2 linked regions of the Arabidopsis thaliana genome follow. The protein of the gene in region 2 interacts with the protein of the main gene of each other region in a biochemical or structural test. Each region holds a gene or a part of one and is shown on either strand. Other genes may lie near its edges. The genes, in order: ATPC1 and AT4G34090.

Region 1 (9,299 bases), about 14 Mb from region 2:
TAAATGTAATAAAGGAAAAAAATAAAAAAAATAAAAAAAAATAAATAAATCCTGACCCACCTGACCCACGCTCTCTCTCACACGCTGACTCATTCCCTTATATCTCTCTCTCTCACCAAACAAAAACAAAACGTACTATGACTATTCTACTAATTATAAATAGTAGATATACTACTTTTCCAATTAAGTTTGGGAAACGTACTATTTTCCAACTTATTCCAAATTAAATCATAATTCTGTTTAGGGATTTGGTTGAGAGGGAAGAGAAGAAAAATTATGTCCTGAGTTTTTTTTCATTTCGATTGAATTTTTTCCTTTTTGTAATCTTCAACTATTCTACATATATGCCTTCAAATCTCGGTAATATTATGGCCTATCGCCCATGATTTCATAATCGGGCTATACATCAACAATTGAAAAGTGATTTGGTTGAACATATATTACAAAAATTTGGCGCGAATCAAGCTAACAACTAATCGTTATTCCGTTTTTGATTTATATATGCTTTTGTGTCATCTATATTTAAAATTGTAGTATTTGTATTAATTATTCAGTTTTATGTAATAAAATATTTATAATTTTTATTTTAATAATAATAATTTTCTTAAAAAAATGCATTGAAGGGCTCTATCATTGGACAAAGAAAAAATGGGACTAACAAAAACTCTTGATTTTAAATTTCTCAAAATTTATTGTTTAGAAATTTGGAAGAGCTCAACCATTGGGGTTGCTCTGACGCTCCGTGTCTTTTTTTTATGACCTTAACACTTGATAAAATTTGAATCTATTTTGATTGGGAGTTACTTTTTTTGCAGATGGTTAGAAGATGGATGTTGGGTGATGATGATGATGATGATGGTGATGATGATGGTTTGCTTGATTCACTTACTAGCTAGGGAGAGATTAAATCATAGAACAGATTGAGGAGCAGGTTGGTGTCATGTTCAACAACTTATGCATGGATCAGATCAACAATGTTATGACATTCTCTGAATGAACCAAAGAACATTTGAAACTTTATGTAAGATGCTAACTAGGAAATATGGATTAGAAGAGTCTGAAAATGTTTACCTTGAGGAATCTGTTGCCATGTTTCTCGAGGTGGTTGGCTAGGATAAGACTGTTCGAGATATTGCTGCAAGATATCAACGGTCATTGGATACAGTGAAAAGAAAGATTGATGATGTTCTGAGTGCTCTATTAAAGTTTGCAGCGGATACATTAAAGCCACAAGAAGGTGAGTTTACAAGAGTAAACCCTGTTTTGAAGAATGATGATCGATATTGGCCTTTTTTTAGAGATTGTGTTGGAGCACTTGATGGAACTCATGTCCCGGTTCGCCCTCCAAGTCAAACTGCAGAAAAATATAAAGGTAGAAAGCTAGAACCTACAATGAATGTTCTTGCTATATGTAATTTCGATATGAAATTCATATATGCATATGTCGGTGTACCTGGTAGAGCACATGATACAAAGGTTTTGAATTATTGTGCGACGAATGAACCTATTTCCCACATCCGCCTAATGGGAAGTATTATCTTGTTGACTTCGGATATCCCACCAGGACTGGGTATCTTGGTCCACATCGTAGGATGCGATATCATCTTGGTCAGTTTGGTAGAGGAGGACCACCAGTAACTGCACGAGAGTTGTTCAACCGAAAGCATTCAGGTTTGCGATCTGTGATTGAGAGGACATTTGGAGTATGAAAAGCAAAATGGAGGATTTTAGATCGTAAGCATCCAAAATATGGTCTGACTAAGTGGATAAAGATTGTAACAGCGACAATGGCACTACACAATTTTATAAGGGATTCACATCGGGAAGATCATGATTTTTTATAGTGGCAAAGCATAGAAGAATATCATGTTGATGATGAAGAAGAAGAAGAAGAAGAAGAAGGAGAAGAAGAAGAAGGAGAGGGAGAAGAAGAAGAAGAAGAAGAAGAAGAAGGAGAAGAAGAAGAAGGAGAAGAACATGTTGCATATAAGCCTATTGGTGACAGAGCGATGGAAGCTTTACGTAACAACATCACGAACGAATGTAATAAAGGTCGCTTACCTTATTAGATATGTTTTTTTTAGTGACTTGGTTTATTATTTTAGTTAACGATTTTGTCTATCTTTTTTGCTTATAACTTGGTGTACTACTTTATTGTTATAATTATGCTTATGATTTTTCACAAATTTTTATCGTTATAATTACAAAAGAAAACTAAAAATTATAACTAGTTAAATAAAAAATGTTATGGATGTAACTATATTTAGATTACATTTTTTTTATTCAAATATAATTATAATACAAATTTATATTAAGAAAATAAGAATTAAGTTAAAACTAACGCAGCGGCGGCGAAACGAACATAGATACTTGCGGCAGCGGCAGCGTCGGCGGCATCCAAACGAACATAAATGTTGCGTCAGCGGCAGTGGCGACGAAACGAATAACAATCTGCGGTAGAGTTTCCCGCTGCCGCTGCCGCCTGCGGTGAACAAACAAACAAACTAAATAATGTCTTGTTGGATATGCAATTGAAGAAGATAGGAAACAAAATTCTTAACTTTTTTTTTTGTGTTTTTTAGATACATGGTAATTCGATGGCAACACTACAAGTTCCAAGTGACGACGTGAGGTTTTTTTTTTATAGGTTGGAGCTCGGTTTTACAGCACCAACGGAGCTCCCACGTCCCCTTCTTCAGTTGATTGAGGTAAGCGTTAATACGCCATAATTGAGGCTCTCAAAAATTGGACGTACGTATAGTTGCGGGGACACGAGTAGCGATACTTGGGTTTCACGGAACTGCAAAGTCTAGTCTTTTGAATGTTCTTGCGGGAGATTTAGTTACTGTTTTGAATGTTCTTGCGGGAGATTTAGTTACTGTGGGTGAAGTGAGAATAAGCCAGAACCTGAGGATCGGAAGGTACTCTTTTGTGGAGAAGCCCACTTGGATATATTCTTCCTAGATCTTTATCCTCCTCACCCAAGACCAAAGGAAATATATTAAACTTGATGCGGTGCGTTTGAAACTGATCAGGTTTGGTCTCCCAAGTCAACACCATTACACTTCATTTTCACGATTGTTTGAAGGACAAAAGGCTAAGGTTGTGTTAGCCTCCATCTCAATGTCCAACCCACACATTTTGCTTTGTTGACGAGCCAACTAATCACTTGGACAAGCCAACTATAACTGCCTTGGGGAATTCACTAAGTTGGTTCAAAGGAGCAGCTGTGTTGGTTAGTCACGACTCGAGACTTGTATCTTCCGATGTACATTTAAAGACTACCAAATCCAGTCAGAGGTATTCAAAAAAGTCTTATGAAATCTTGAAAGATGGGGTGAACAAAAGGATTCAATGTTGTCCCTAACTAAGATCCTTAGTCATAACAACAATGGAAAAGGATTCACAACTAACAACCAAAGAAACCAAAATCTTATTCCTCCAAAGGATCCTACAAAAACTCTTCATCATCCACAAATATTCAACGAAGATCTCCATCATTTTATCCAATGAAAAGCCAAAATAGATACAACCGCGTTTTTGTTTGTAATTGCATGATTATAAAGAGTTCTAGAGATTATCAATTATACATTATACAAACGATAACGAAAAAAAAAGAAGAAGAAGAGAGTTTTGGACTCATATAGAAGATTCAAAGAGGGTTCAAAACAAATCAAACCTGTGCATTAGCTCCAGCAACAATCTCAAGAATCTCTCCAGTAATCTTAGCTTGACGCTTTCTATTATACACCATCGAAAGCGATTTCTTGAGATCCGATGCATTATCCGAAGCACTACTCATTGCACTCATTCTAGCTGCAAGCTCACTAGCCAATGACTCCTGTAATGCCCTAAGAATCTGACTGTTAAGATACAGAGGCAACAAAGCATCAAGAATCTGAACAGGGTCTTGCTCGAATTGCAAGATCGGCGAGAAATCAGCTGTTGGTGTCCTAAAAGTCTCTCTTTCAACTGTCAATTTCCCTTCTTTTGTCGTTAACCTGAAAAACTCATCTTCCGCAGCATCCACACAGGTTCCATTAATGTCACAGATCTCTCCTTTAGGTGATAAAGGCAGTAGCGTGTGGATCACGGGTTCTGATTTGACCAAAGAGACAAACTTTGTGTACAAGAGCTCGACTTTGTCGACTTCTTCACTTATAAACAGAGAGAAGACATCATCAGCCACAGCTTGAGCTTCTTTAGCCGTAGGTAAAGTTCCGGCTTCTAGGTATTTGTCGACGGGGATGTACGGGCGACGGAGGAAATAAGAATTTCCCTTCTTGCCCACGCTAATGACTGTGTATTCAAGACCTAGACCTTTAAGCTCTTTGATTCTTGCCTCTGCTTTCTTAATGATGAAATTGTTGAATCCACCACATAATCCACGATCACCGGTGACGACAACGAGAGCTACTTTCTTAACCGGTCTGACTTTGGTTAAGGGAACATCGACATCATCGGTTTGAAGCTGTTCGTTGATGTTGTAAAGAACTTCAACTAGGGTTTCTGAGAATGGTCGTCCATTGACAACAGCTTCTTGAGCTCTCCTGACTTTAGCTGCAGCGACAAGCTTCATAGCTTCGGTGATCTTTTGAGTGTTTTTGACTGAATCGATACGGTCTCTGAGCTCACGAAGAGACGCTTGGAGTGGTGAAACAGAGGAAGCTCGTGAAGGAGGTGAGGAAGTGTTAGTTGGGCACTTGAGAACAGATCGGAATGATAAGGAAGATGAATCAGCAGAAAGAGATGGTTTTGATGAAACCCACATTGTTGTTAGATTAGAGCAAGCCATTTTTTTGTTGTTTGTTTCAGACAGTGTTTTGCTCTAACCTTATCTCTCTGTTCTTTTGATTGTATTGTATTGAAGAAGAAGAAAGAAGAGAGGAGAGATTTGAGTGGAGGGAAGAGAAGGTGATGAGATTAGGTTTGGAGATAAGGTTTTACATTTGCTATTTGGAGTCTGCAAATTGTGGGATCCTCTTTTTGTTGACGTGGCGTTGTATTAGTGGATGGTTCGATATCTTCAATGTTTTTTTTTTTTGGGGTGTGTGGTATATATCTTACTTCTTTGTAATTGTTTATCAGCCAACCAATAATTGCTTTTTTATTTTATGAGTTTTGACCCCAAAGAGAGAAAATATCTGACAAAGGATAGAAATTAGAGTAATTAGGTTTGGTTTAATTTCTTTGGTATGGTTTTGGTCCATTAGTATATATATATACCAATCAAATTACCTTACAATAGACTTAAAATGATATATATATATATATATATATATATATATATATAATTTGTAATCTGGTTTGATTTGTTAATTGCTTTTTTATTTTATGAGTTTTTGACCCCAACGAGAGAAAATATCTGACAAAGGATAGAAATTAGAGTAATTAGGTTTGGTTTAATTTCTTTGGTATGGTTTTGGTCCATTAGTATATATATATACCAATCAAATTACCTTACAAGAGACTTAAAATGATATATATATATATGTATATATATATATTTTTTAATCTGGTTTAATTTGTTAATTGCTTCAATTTTCTCCAAAATTTTTTTGATAAGCAAAACTTTATAGAGAAAAACAAATATTTGGTTATAACGAAAAAATCATATAGTGTAACAACTAACAACAATGGTTTCATTTGTTAATTGCTTCGATTTATTCCAAAAATTCCGATAAAATAATTCTACAGATCAAAACAAATATTAAAAACTAATATTTGGTTAGAAATTAGAACGAAATAATAAACATATAATAAGAATTAACTAAATTATAGATATAAAAATTTATAAAATTTTATTCATTAAATTAATTATAAGATGTTTATATATTAAAATCAATAAAATATTAATTTTATCATGAAAATTGTAGTTTTCTTTTTGGTTAAAATTATATATTATTGTATCTTCAACTACATCCGGATACATATTTTGGAATATGCTTATTGTTACAAGAACATACCGAAATCACACAGAAACCACAAAAATTCCCAACCTCTTGCTATAAACAAGTTCTTAGTTTTATTTGTTTTGTTTTATTTTCATCACCAAACATATTATTACGTACGCTCAGTTTCTCATGGATTTGTACAAACTAATATCATCTTTATTAATCACCAACAATCTAGTGACATTCTATTCATCTCTTAAGGATCAAATCGACCTATGAATCTTTGATGCTTACATGAAGTAAAGCTCATTATTCTTTCCGTCAATTATTGCATACTCGTCCACCATTTCAAATAATAGAACATTAAGGATGCTGAACATGTTGAGTCATACACCTTATTGGATTTAGGGTTATAGTAACAATCTATGTAAAATCTGCACCGTATTAATATGAACTCGTTGCTCGAGTTATAAAAGCCCAACCAAACAAAGATTACACATCACACCAGAACTGACTTTAAAATGAGTTGACCACCCTAAGTACAATGAAGATTATGATCCATCAAATTCAACATTTTCAGTTGCCTAAAAGAGGTAGATCCTTAGTGGAAAGGCAATACAAATTGCTACTCATATGTAATATGCAAGAAATGAGTAAGTTCTTTTAAGGGTTTGATTATTTTATTTTCTTTCTTTTTTATTTCTTTGAAATGGAATGATGATAATGCAACTTTCAAAATATATAAGACTTCTTTTAGGTCACAAAATTTGATGTTAGTATTTAGGTCACAAAATCGGCACCATCCACGCAATTTGTGTCAAGTCGATTATGAAATGAATCAAAACCGTGCCTAACCAGAATGTCCTGAATCGAAATCCAAAATGCAAATACCTTACTTAGACAACAAAACATTGATGTATCAATATATCTAAAACAACAATAGCTATTGAAAGGGGGGGGGGGGGTGGTGGTGGTGGTATTTATGTAAGGTACGAGCCCTCTCCATGTCAGATCCAAAATAGCGCCAAACTCAAAAAAACAATCCCGAAACTATAGATATCAGTCTTTTCATTAAAGTTATCCAATTTAACTTCAATTTCGGGTGCTTTATAGACGGTTATTTCTGGTTCACTATAGCTACCAACTTTTTGGGCATCTTCCACCATTTTTTTTTTTTTTTTTTTTAGTTCATAAATTTCCATTCAACTTTAAAACATACAATGGCAAAAGCCCAAATAAAGGCCACATGCCCAACACAGGAGAAAACAAACCTTTTCCTGCAACAAACAAAAGGGGAGACGAAACCTGCAACACTAGAAAACCAAAACAAACAGCCCTGAACTAGAACAACGAAAACCAAGTTCCTAGCAAGGACAAAGCGTTAGGTTGATGAGCCGTGCTGCGAGACAAAGGATCCAGACGAGCGCGAATGATGAGCTGGATGTCCTTCAAGATAGACTCAGTAGAACGAGAGACGCCGGAGTGGAGACGTTGGTTTCTTTCTCTCCAAATTGCATAAACACAAGAGTGAAAGGCCAGCCTGATAATGAGACAAATATTTTTTTCCCTTGAGGGAGATAAGAGCCAGTTAAGACAGTCCATTAATTGGGCAGGAGGATTAAGGTTGGTTGAGGCTGTAAAAAACCTCCACACGACACCACTAAACTGGCACTCAAAGAAGAGATGTGCTCTCGAATCGTCATGAGCATTGCAAAGAAGACACTCAGCAGGGATCGAGAGACCCCAATTCTGAAGCCTATCCCTTGTGTGCAATCTATTCCACGCCACAACCCAACAAATGAAGGCGTGCTTAGGAACATGGTTCTTAAACCAGACCGCCTTATGCCAGGGGACGGTGTGAGATTGCGGATGCAGAGCAGACCAAGTTCTTGGAGCGGAGAATCTGTTTGATGGTGCATGAAGGTCCGTTTTCCAAAGAAAGGAGTCGTCATGCTGACAGTCAAGCAAACCCTGAGCCTCCGGGAGAAGATTTTTAAGCTGAACAATGATTGGATTCCTGCTACGGCTTGATGCAATCCACCAAGACGTGCCCCTTAACGCATCCCTAACCACAGCATCAATAGGCAAACCAACTGTACGAGGGCCTAGAGGACCGATTACCTCTATAAGGGGGCCAAGGCCAATCCAATTATCATGCCAAAACTTAGCGGTGACCCCGGAACCAACCTCACAAACAATAAAGGGCCTTGCCACAACTCTGAGCTTACACATCTTCCACCATCTTGGATATCATTTCAACACCTTCAAGGACATCTTCGTCCTCTACATGAGAGGAAAGGTTCTTCACATAAGTGGAGTCGAATCCTGTAATTGTGGAGTTAAAATAGAAAATAAGACAAATAATGAAGTAGTTCATTAAAGAGTTTTATTAAAATGCGAGGAACCAAAAAGAAAAAATTTATATTTGTTTTAGTTCATAAAAGATTGAATGTGGCTGCACCAATAATCAGCTTTGGCTACATTAATTTACACAACATATATATGGACTTATATATATGAACCCATATATATATATTTATATATATGAACCCATATATATATATTTATATATATGAAAAACTCTTATTATAAAACCTAATAACATTGATTTAGATGGACTACACTAATGATAATATCTTGGGTTTTTATGTGTGCTCTTATACTATTGTCGATTGTATGATTTATTCTTCATCGGATCTAAAGCAATACTCAAAAAGGTTTATGTGTGCTCACTCAAAACCTTAACTAGGGGTTCAACAAAACAAAACAAAAAAACTCAAAGGAGATGGATTTCGAGTTGAGAAAACTTTCAAGAACATTTTCAAACTCTAGAAAAAAGGAAAGCTTCATTCTATGAATGGAGTTAAATAGAAAATAAGACATGAAATAAAGTGATTCATTAAAAAGTTTTTTTTTTCTCATAAGTGTTATACTTTATTTTAAAACTTGTGTTGTAAAGATACAACTGTGGAACCTTCCACTTACAAATCTTGACAGTTGACACATATTAAATCTTACAACGTTGGATCAACTAAAGTATAGTCATCCATGTTGCATAAAAACAAACAAGTCTAGCTTATAAGCAGATGCCCATAAAGAAAGCCCAGTCCAGGAAACAAAACCCTTAGAGAAAGTAAATTTAAAGATTGCCTTCCACCCAAAAGCCACGTGTGATGTGAAGAAACAAAGTTGAAACACGTGGACTGAAGAAGCCTTAGTCGTCGCTGTTCATCGCCGAACTGGTTAGCAACTCAGAGAACTCCAAAACCATGGAAACCGCCAGAGCTTCAAGAGAAGTCTATCAATTTTTAATTAGAGAACCCCACCAAACTTCATCAGCAAATCAGGAAAGGAAAGATCTACCAAAGGCAATTGACTCCCGAAATCCAAGGAACATCGACGTAG
Region 2 (9,924 bases):
TAACAAGATCTTCAAAAGTCATTTTATCATCTTTCCTGTGTTGAGTAACCATATCAAAGATCCTTTCTCCTAAAGAACCACTCAGACCAAAATACTCCTGTGAAAATCGAAATCCGACACACATCGTGTAAGGCTTAATTCAAAATTATCAACCACAAAAACCAGATGACAACAGAACACAATTTTTTTTTTGTCAAAACCTGGAAAACAGGGTACGAGACGTATTGGTCATTGCTCTGAGACTTGGAAGCGAGGGAAAAAAAGAGAGATTTGAGATCAGCGAGCTTCTTCTGAGTAAAAGCTCTGCAATAAAACACAAACACACAATTGATAAGATCGATTTTCAATTTAGAAATTAGAGAGTGAAAGTGAGATTGGTTCCGATGAAGACCTGGAAGCAGAAGTGAAGCAATGATCAACAGAAGACGAATTCGAATTTCCCTTTTTCGCCGGGTTTTTTTCTCCCCTCAGTTCTCCGGCAGGTTTCGTCGTCTCTGTTCTTCTATTATTTTTGATTGATCTTCCACTTCTTCAAAATTACAACTTCAACCCCTTAAAATCGAAATATTCTTAATGTACTCCATTACTTTTAATGCGTTGATCTCGAAGCAGCAGAGTAAAATATAAAAGTTGTGAGTTGAAATCACACAAAGAACAGAAAATAAAGGGGGGCAAACACGAAGAGCTCACAACTAGATTCATGCTTTTAGATTTCCACTGGTGAGTCTAATCTGTTTAATTATTGCAATTCGTTCTTGTTCTTGTCGAATATACAGTTCTGTTTTAGTATCTTTTTTTATGTGTTCATGTCTGTTTTGACTTTGTTGCCGAGAAATTTTACTGAAACTAGTAAAGCTAAGCTCTCTGAATCGTTTTTCATGTTTAATTGAAGCAGTAGATTGTTCTTCTTCCTCTATTGGATGCCATGGAAGTAGAAATCTTCAGGATTCTTCTTGGCTTTGATTCTGAGATTTTGCAATTTGAAAGTTTAATCAAAGGCTACTGTGATTTTTTTGGATATTTTTCTATGATTTATGATTTTGAGTTGTGGTGTTTTCTCTTTTTTCCGTTGTTGAGATGTTGATAAATTTTCTGTCCAGAATTGTTGCCTCACACTATTTGCTGATTCGGTTTGGTTTGTATTGGTTTTGAAATTAAAACTGATTTCGGTTCGGTTTCATTGGTTTTGTTGAAAATAACTAAAAGAGTCACGCGATGGAGAATTTGGAGAGATGTGCGTCGATTAAAAAAGTCATGAATTGGAAAGGGGTTTACCCACAGAATCGCCCTCACTCGCTCAACGCGCTCTTTCTGCGAGTGGGTACGAAATATAGCCTTCTGATTGGCTTAAAAACTCAAAAAAAGTGCAATAGTATACTTGTTGCTAGCTCTTATTATTTGATAAAGTTTTGTACTTGCATCTTTTTTTTCAGTCACCGAAAGTTGGAATTTCCTTTGTGATAAGATCTAAACAAATATCAAAGTCTACAAATGCTGGATTAAGCAAGTTAAAGCCTTTGTGATTCCCTTGTATTTTCAACAACCTCGTCTTCAAAACTTTATCCAAAGACATATGTGGATAGCCATAGCAAGCCACAGTTACATTATACAGGAAAGGTACCACCTTAAGGCTCTGCATTCCAAAGAAAATGTCATAGTCACTTTGTTTGATATGTTTGTTCTGTGGATTGTTAACATTGGTTTATGCTTGAGTGAGGTCCCAGACAGGAAATCAAACTCACATTATGCATGTAGCTAGTGTCGTTCTGTTGACCCTATAAAGCCTTTACTTTTACTGTAGTTAGCTTATAGTTGCATTCTTTAGGTTAGTTCTCTGCTTTACACACTTTGCAACCTAGTAGAACTTTTCTCTTATGACACCCATGGTCAATACATTGGTTGACAATAATGAAAGTGGAGCTGCTATAACATCTTTTCTTTTTATCAAGTGATTTTATGTTCGGTAATAGCTTACTGTTTCATTAACTCTGACAAACTGTTTATTATTGCACTGTCTGAACACTTAAAGATGAACAACGGACCATAATTTCACTTTCACATATATCTGCAGAACCTCATTGACCTGGCAGGTTCTGAAAGCTCAAAGGCTGAAACCAGTGGTTTAAGGCGCAAGGAAAGGTCTTATATAAATAAAGCTTTGCTGACTTTAGGGACTATGAGTTCTTGGTTATCATTGTTTTCCCCCAAGCGACAATAGTTTTTCGAATTTAAGAACCTTTTTTGCAAGTTGGATCGTTCTTTTGCAAATTTGTAGGTACTTGTTATAGTATTTGATACTCTTATTTACTTTCTGTTGGTGACATGCATAATGCTGATTTCACTGTCTCTTATATTTTTATGATCCAAACATGAAACACATACATAATCCATCCTCAACCAATGGAAGAGTCTATCAATCAAAATCCTGAAGCTATGGAAGCACTTATCTCCAATCTCTTTGGAAACATCTCGTCTTTGAAATCTGCTTATATCGAGCTTCAAAGTGCTCATACTCCTTACGATCCCGAGAAGATTCAGGCAGCGGACAAAGTTGTCATTTCTGAACTCAAGAATCTTTCCGAAATGAAGCATTTTTACAGAGAGAATAACCCCAAGCCTGTATGTGTCTCTCCACAAGACTCTCGTTTAGCTGCAGAGATTCAAGAGCAGCAGAGTTTGTTGAAGACTTATGAGGTCATGGTGAAGAAGTTTCAGTCTGAGATTCAGAACAAGGATTCCGAGATCACGCAGATGCTGCAGAAGATTGAGGAAGCAAACCAGAAACGGCTTAAGCTTGAGAAGAATCTTAAGTTAAGAGGAATGTCTACAAACCAAGGTTCTGGTGGAGATGGAAATTTACAGTTTCCTGACTTGACTACTGAACTCTTTGTATCTACTTACGAAGCTGCTGCTAAAGTTGTGCATGATTTCTCCAAGCCGCTAATCAACATGATGAAAGCAGCAGGATGGGATCTTGATACTGCAGCCAATTCTATTGAGCCTGATGTTGTTTACGCCAAGAGGCCTCACAAGGAATATGCATTTGAATCATACATATGCCAAAGGATGTTCAGTGGGTTTCAGCAGAAGAACTTCTCAGTAAACTCAGAGAGTGCTACGGTTATGGCCGATGATGACACAGACACCTTTTTCCGCCAGTTTCTTGCTCTCAAGGACATGGATCCACTAGATGCTCTAGGTACAAACCCTGATTCCAACTTTGGTATATTCTGCAGGAGCAAGTAGCTCCTCTTAGTCCACCCAAAGATGGAAGCTTCTTTCTTTGGAAATCTAGACCAGCGTGACTACGTGACAGGAGGTGGCCACCCGAGGACTGCATTTTACCAGGCCTTCTTAAAACTTGCAAAGTCGATATGGATCTTGCACAAGCTTGCTTACTCTTTTGATCCAGCTGCAAAGATCTTCCAAGTGAAAAAGGGTAGTGAGTTCTCTGATTCATACATGGAAAGTGTTGTGAAGAACATACATTAATATGGATTCAATCTGTGTACAAAACGAAATTAGAGATATGGTGTAATCCAGCTTCCTCATAACATTTAGCAATATGGTTTAAAGATTCGGACCAAGTTCCTTCGATAGAAGCCAAATCCAAGAGAAAAGCCGCAACATCCAACGCAACTTGGATTGGAGCTTTGCCTTTATGCAAATCTTCAAAACGACCTTCATCACTCACTTTTTCCCTTATGAATTCGATCTGCTCGTCTTCCCATTGTGCTATACTAGCAACCTCCTGCATGTTTTCAAGATACCATGACCATGAATATGTCTCTATGCTTTAAAACTCAGTACAACCGAAAAAGAAGAACAAAAAAACTTTTGTCATACCTCATACGGACATCCTAATGTCCACCACGGTGATCTCAATGCTACCCTAGCCGCATCTTTTGCTTCTACATTCCGCCCTACCCTGCGAATAAGAATCTGAAGATAAGTGGCTACATCTTTCTCTACGAAAATAAAATGGAGATATGTTTTAGGTATGTAAAGTTTACAAACTTCTGTAGTATGTTTGCATAATATACAAAAGGTCGTCCAAATCCTGGAAAGAGGTCTTTCTTTGTGTAAAATTCTCCTGTCACCATAGCTGAAACCTTCCATAGACAAAAAGAAGAAAATGTCCTGAAAAAGTGTCACAGAAGAGAGATTCATGATAATAGAATGTCATATCATATGCGTCAAATGTCTTACATGATCTCCTTCATCAAAATGCCGTAATACTTTCCGCTCCAACAAATCTGGAAACAGTCCAACCTAGACGATACAAAACAAAAGCAAATACTGTTTATTGTGGTGTACATAACCTTTTATCTATAAGTCATGAGTTTTTCAGTCTTGCCTTTTTCAAAACATAGACATCGAGATTGTCAATTTCAGATTCAGCAAAAGCACCCTTTTCGTAAAGTTTTTCACCTGCCTCTCCCGAAGCACGATATAGTTCTGTCAACTCTTGTGCATCTTCTTCAACTAGAATCCGGTGAATGTATTCATCTACCTGAATATCAAAAAATGTAAGATTGTTTCTTGGTAACACAAAAAAGACATAAATCCTCTTAAAAGGATAAGCTACGTATAAACAGAATGAGAAGTCTTTACATTTCTAGCTATAAGCCTGACTCCACTCCTCCAAACTTCCACAACCGGCATATCCATTCTGTTCTCGAATACAAAAAAGTTAAAAACCAAGAATAACCCAACAACATATTTTTACTACTGCAAGAGTTACCAAGAAAGAGATCCAAATCTCTTACCCTGGTGGAGCAGTAGGCCATCTCAAAAGCGCAGTAACAGAGCCTACTTAGACAAAAAAAAAAACCAGAAAAACAAAACTAAAGACAAGCTCCTGGAAAAAGCTAATGGATTCTATCGAAAGTGTGGTCTTACCTGACGAATTCTTCGAAAGCGGAATAGCAAGAGGGATCAGTCCCTGCTTAGCTCCAGGAGATATGATTGTCTCACCTGCAGAAGATATATGAAGCAACTGAGACTTTAAGAACCATAAGTTTCCCTTTCTCCATTATTACAAATCCAGAATAAGTGATGAAAAGAAACGAATACATAAGTTTGGACATAAATGAGGAACAAAATTGAGCATTATTTTACCTCTTGTTTGAAGCACTTTGAGTAAGTGATGAAGATGCATTGGAGGTTCAGTGGCAGCAACATCTTTGATAAATGATACATGCCCTACACAACAACGCTAATCTTAAGTCAATCCCAATGTGTCTCTTTGGAAGAATTATTACACATTCTTTTGTTAATTTGTTGTCTCCACCAAGAATAATCAAAAAGACAGTCATAGTCACTGCATTTTCCTACAAAAGATTGTTCTAAAATACTCAACAAAGATATAAGCTCAAGCATTTTCTCGATTTGAAAAGCCATCAAACAATCGACAATTACTATAATTCGACAATCACATGCAATTCTCACAAACGGAGGAAAAACGAAATTACCAGAAGAGCAACAAGAGACTCTAGCTCTGAAATGGCGTATAGGGAGAGCAGTAGAGGGAGTTATGTGCATCGAAATCGAACCCATGGCTTCTTCTTATCTCTCTATCTTTCTCTTCACTCTGCTTCCTCAACCTCACAGAATTTTCGTAATTCAGCAGTAGCAGCAAAAGATAGCCATTGATTTTGTTTCTGATTCAGCAAAAAAAAAAGAAAAAAAAATGAGATGGGCTTAGTCTGTTACAATTTAAGGCCCAAACCCAACAAAGACTAAAGACGCGTAACCGACAAAAACCGTCATTAAATGTGCAAGAGGGAAGGTCAATTTCGTCAACTACCGGTTTACAAGACCCGGTTAGGCCTACCATATAATCAATTTTCTCGGTGTCTTTGATTTTTTTTCCGATCTTTTTCTATTTTAATTCTCGAGGATAATAATTATTCGCGATAGACGACGCCTTTCCTCTTAGCTCGGCGTTATCAGACTCACCGAGTCGACTCGCTCCGCCGTTGCCGTCTCCGTTACCACCGTCTGCGCAATACGTAATTCATAGCCCGGATTTCTCTATGGAGATTTCCCCGGCCGATTCGTTGTCCATCTCTGGCGCGGCTGCTTCTGAGGTCGTCTCCGAGCCTTCCGTATCTTCTTCTTCTTCCTCTTCCTCGCCGAATCAGGCATCACCCAATCCTTTCTCAAACATGGATCCTGCAGTTTCGACGGCGACAGGATCGAGGTACGTTGATGATGACGAAGATGAAGAGGACGTTTGCAGGATCTGCAGAAATCCTGGTGATGCAGACAATCCGCTTCGGTATCCGTGTGCCTGTAGCGGAAGTATCAAATTTGTTCACCAGGATTGTCTCCTTCAGTGGCTTAATCACAGCAACGCTCGTCAATGCGAGGTTTTGTTTCTTTTCCTCTTTATTATTTGATTGTTGAGATTTTGAAGATTCGTATTCTAATTAAGATCTGGATTCGTGTTGATTTGAATGCCTTTTAGGAATTTTGATATGGGTAAATGAATGGGCAATTGCATATTTCTGTGTGCTCATATTCAACGTTGACAGTTTAAAGTCTTCTCTTTTAATATGTGTTTCTTAAGTAGGAGTTCCACATAGAAGAGAACACGTGCTTATTGTTAATTTCATCTCTGCAGGTTTGCAAGCATCCTTTTTCATTCTCCCCAGTATATGCTGACAATGCTCCGTCAAGGCTCCCTTTCCAGGAGTTTGTAGTTGGCATTGCTATGAAAGCTTGCCATGTTTTACAGTTCTTTCTGCGGTTGAGTTTTGTGCTTTCTGTCTGGCTTCTCACTATACCTTTCATTACATTTTGGATATGGCGTTTGGCTTTCGTGCGAACTTTTGGTGAAGCTCAAAGGTTGTTCTTAAGCCACATCTCCACCACAGTAATTCTCACTGATTGCTTGCATGGGTTCTTACTATCTGCAAGTATTGTCTTCATCTTCCTTGGAGCTACTTCATTAAGGGACTACTTTAGGCACTTACGAGAGCTTGGGGGACAAGAAGAGAGAGATGATGATGTGGACAGAAATGGTGCTCGTGCTGCAAGAAGACCTGCTGGACAGGCTAATAGGAATCTTGCTGGAGAGGGGAATGGTGAAGATGCTGGGGATCAGGGTGCTGCGGTTGGTCAGATTGCTAGAAGGAATCCTGAAAATGTTCTGGCAAGGTTGGACATACAAGCAGCTCGTCTTGAGGCTCAGGTTGAACAGATGTTTGATGGGTTGGATGACGCTGATGGTGCAGAAGACGTTCCATTTGATGAGCTGGTTGGAATGCAAGGTCCAGTGTTTCATTTGGTTGAGAATGCCTTTACTGTAAGTTGATGTTTCTACTTTTTGGCAATGTATATTTTAAATTCTATGTTCCTTCTTCTTCACTATTGGCCCTTATTAAATCTTCATGATGTGCATAATTTTGCAGGTTCTAGCAAGCAATATGATATTCCTTGGTGTTGTTATCTTCGTGCCCTTTACCTTGGGACGGATTATATTGTATCACGTGTCATGGCTTTTTGCTGCTGCTAGAGGCCCTGCTGTGGCTGCATCATTGCATCTTACAGATACCGGACTCTCATTGGAAAATATTACTCTGAAGAGTGCGCTGACTGCTGTCTCGAATTTGACTAGCGAGGGCCAAGGAAATGGGCTGCTTGGTCAGCTCACTGAAATGATGAAAGTCAACGGAAGTGAATTGAATGGAGCAAACAATACGCTATCAGTTGCTACTGATCTCCTGAAAGGTTCTACTGTTGGGGCCTCAAAGCTTTCTGATATTACAACTCTGGCTGTTGGGTACATGTTTATCGTATTTCTGGTGTTCCTTTACCTTGGGATCATTGCACTGATTCGATATGCCAAGGGTGAGCCACTGACTGTTGGAAGATTTTATGGTATTGCATCTATAGTAGAAGCTGTACCATCCCTCCTTAGACAGTTCTTGGCAGCAATGAGGCATCTGATGACCATGATCAAAGTTGCCTTTCTTTTGGTCATCGAGCTTGGGGTCTTTCCTCTGATGTGTGGTTGGTGGCTAGATGTTTGCACTGTTAGGATGTTCGGTAAAACAATGTCCCACAGGGTACAGTTTTTATCAATTTCTCCTCTGGCAAGCTCACTTGTTCATTGGGTTGTTGGAATCATGTACATGTTGCAAATAAGCATCTTCGTCAGCCTTCTTCGAGGGGTACTGTGTTGTCCCTACTCATTTTCATTCTAGAAATAGTTTTTTTCGCTGCTGCTATCTAAATATATCTTTTCACTTTGTGCCAATTGCAGGTTCTTCGTCCTGGAGTTCTGTATTTCCTTCGTGATCCAGCAGATCCTAATTACAATCCATTCCGAGATTTGATTGATGATCCAGTGCACAAGCATGCTCGGAGGGTACTGTTATCAGTTGCAGTGTATGGAAGTTTGATTGTGATGCTGGTATTTTTACCAGTCAAACTTGCGATCCGGATGGCTCCTTCAATCTTTCCACTTGACATATCGTAAGAAATATTGACTAACCTCTTGTTTTTGGAGATTTTGTGTTTGATTAGGTCTTTCCTAACTTGGGCATATATGCAGTGTATCCGACCCATTCACTGAGATTCCCGCCGACATGCTTCTGTTTCAAATATGCATTCCATTTATCATCGAGCATTTCAGACTTCGGACCACAATTAAGTCCCTTCTACGCTGCTGGTTCACTGGGGTTGGTTGGGCGCTTGGTTTAACAGACTTCCTCTTGCCAAGACCAGAAGACAACATTGGTCAGGACAATGGAAATGGTGAACCAGGAAGGCAGAACAGAGCACAAGTGTTGCAGGTCGGAGGACCTGACAGGGCCATGGCTGCGCTTCCAGTAGCTGATGACCCTAACAGAAGTCGCCTCCGTGCTGGGAATGTCAACACGGGTGAGGAATATGAAGATGATGACGAACAATCTGATTCTGAGTAAGTTCTTACTTTAAAAATAAGCTAATAGCTTGTTTGATATTAAGAATTTTGGCATACTTGAATAAATTAACAGGACTTTTCGCTTGGTATATAGAGTTGACTAAGTACTTTAAGACTCCCATTAGGGCTTCCCCTGATATGAATGTATATTTTTAGCAGGTACAACTTTGTGGTCCGGATAATTCTCCTTCTACTTGTTGCATGGGTGACTCTTCTTCTCTTCAATTCAGCATTGATAGTTGTGCCAGTTTCGCTGGGACGTGCTCTATTCAGTGCCATTCCCATTCTTCCAATAACTCATGGCATCAAGTGCAATGGTAATGTTTGTTAATTTTGATCTTCTGAGTCATTCTTTGGCACGGGTTACACATTATTAACAGTATTCCCTAAAAATATGTAGATCTGTATGCTTTCGTCATTGGCACATATGCCTTTTGGACTACCATATCTGGGGCCAGGTATGCTATCGAGCATGTCAAGTCAAAGAGGACTTCAGTCTTGCTTAACCAAATATGGAAATGGTGTGGGATTGTATTCAAGAGCTCGGTGCTGTTAGCCATATGGGTAAGTGTTTTGTGCTGTTAAATTTTCAATATACGAGAAACTCTAAACTCTACTAAATGTGGATTCTGTACTTTTCAAATGGTGATTGAACAGGTTTTTATCATTCCGGTGCTAATTGGACTTCTGTTTGAGCTTTTGGTGATTGTCCCAATGAGAGTCCCAGTTGATGAAAGCCCTGTGTTCCTCCTGTATCAAGACTGGGCTCTTGGGCTCATCTTTTTGAAAATCTGGACTAGACTGGTAAGTAATTTTCTCCAACAATCAGCAACTTATTTCCGCAGAAGAAGATATTTTGTCACTAAAAAACAACGTCAATGGACAGGTAATGCTGGATCATATGCTTCCAATAGTGGATGATAGCTGGAGAGCAAAGTTTGAGCGGGTAAGAGAAGATGGCTTCTCGAGGCTTCAAGGGTTATGGGTAC

The links.
Region 1: the proteins of AT4G34090 (region 2) and ATPC1 form a complex in vitro, tested with the Arabidopsis thaliana proteins (one study listed by BioGRID).

The regions. Positions count from the first base shown.
Region 1 is NC_003075.7:2,347,088-2,356,386, forward strand, and holds ATPC1 (ATPase, F1 complex, gamma subunit protein), read right to left. Parts: upstream 4,932-9,299; 5' UTR 4,796-4,931; coding exon 3,674-4,795; 3' UTR 3,411-3,673; downstream 1-3,410. Other genes in the region: AT4G04650 (RNA-directed DNA polymerase (reverse transcriptase)-related family protein), read right to left, coding at 6,902-7,025, 7,252-8,126. UniProt on the Arabidopsis thaliana protein: Produces ATP from ADP in the presence of a proton gradient across the membrane. The gamma chain is believed to be important in regulating ATPase activity and the flow of protons through the CF(0) complex.
Region 2 is NC_003075.7:16,324,552-16,334,475, forward strand, and holds AT4G34090 (cyclin delta-3), read right to left. Parts: upstream 5,665-9,924; 5' UTR 5,560-5,664; coding exon 5,313-5,559; intron 5,206-5,312; coding exon 5,122-5,205; intron 4,978-5,121; coding exon 4,903-4,977; intron 4,813-4,902; coding exon 4,770-4,812; intron 4,673-4,769; coding exon 4,615-4,672; intron 4,514-4,614; coding exon 4,358-4,513; intron 4,273-4,357; coding exon 4,210-4,272; intron 4,113-4,209; coding exon 4,014-4,112; coding exon of another isoform or gene 3,969-4,013; intron 3,943-3,968; coding exon 3,847-3,942; intron 3,752-3,846; coding exon 3,500-3,751; 3' UTR 3,380-3,499; downstream 1-3,379. Other genes in the region: AT4G34070 (Calcium-binding EF-hand family protein), read right to left, coding at 1-97, 201-303, 392-529, 650-702; AT4G34080 (myosin-4 protein (DUF641)), read left to right, coding at 2,401-3,246; CER9 (RING/U-box superfamily protein), read left to right, coding at 6,039-6,374, 6,629-7,312, 7,419-8,180, 8,273-8,484, 8,564-8,932, 9,092-9,252, 9,336-9,499, 9,593-9,739 and 1 more. UniProt on the Arabidopsis thaliana protein: Involved in the assembly of the F(1) ATP synthase in chloroplast thylakoid membranes. Functions downstream of the CPN60 chaperones to promote assembly of the catalytically active core of the chloroplast ATP synthase.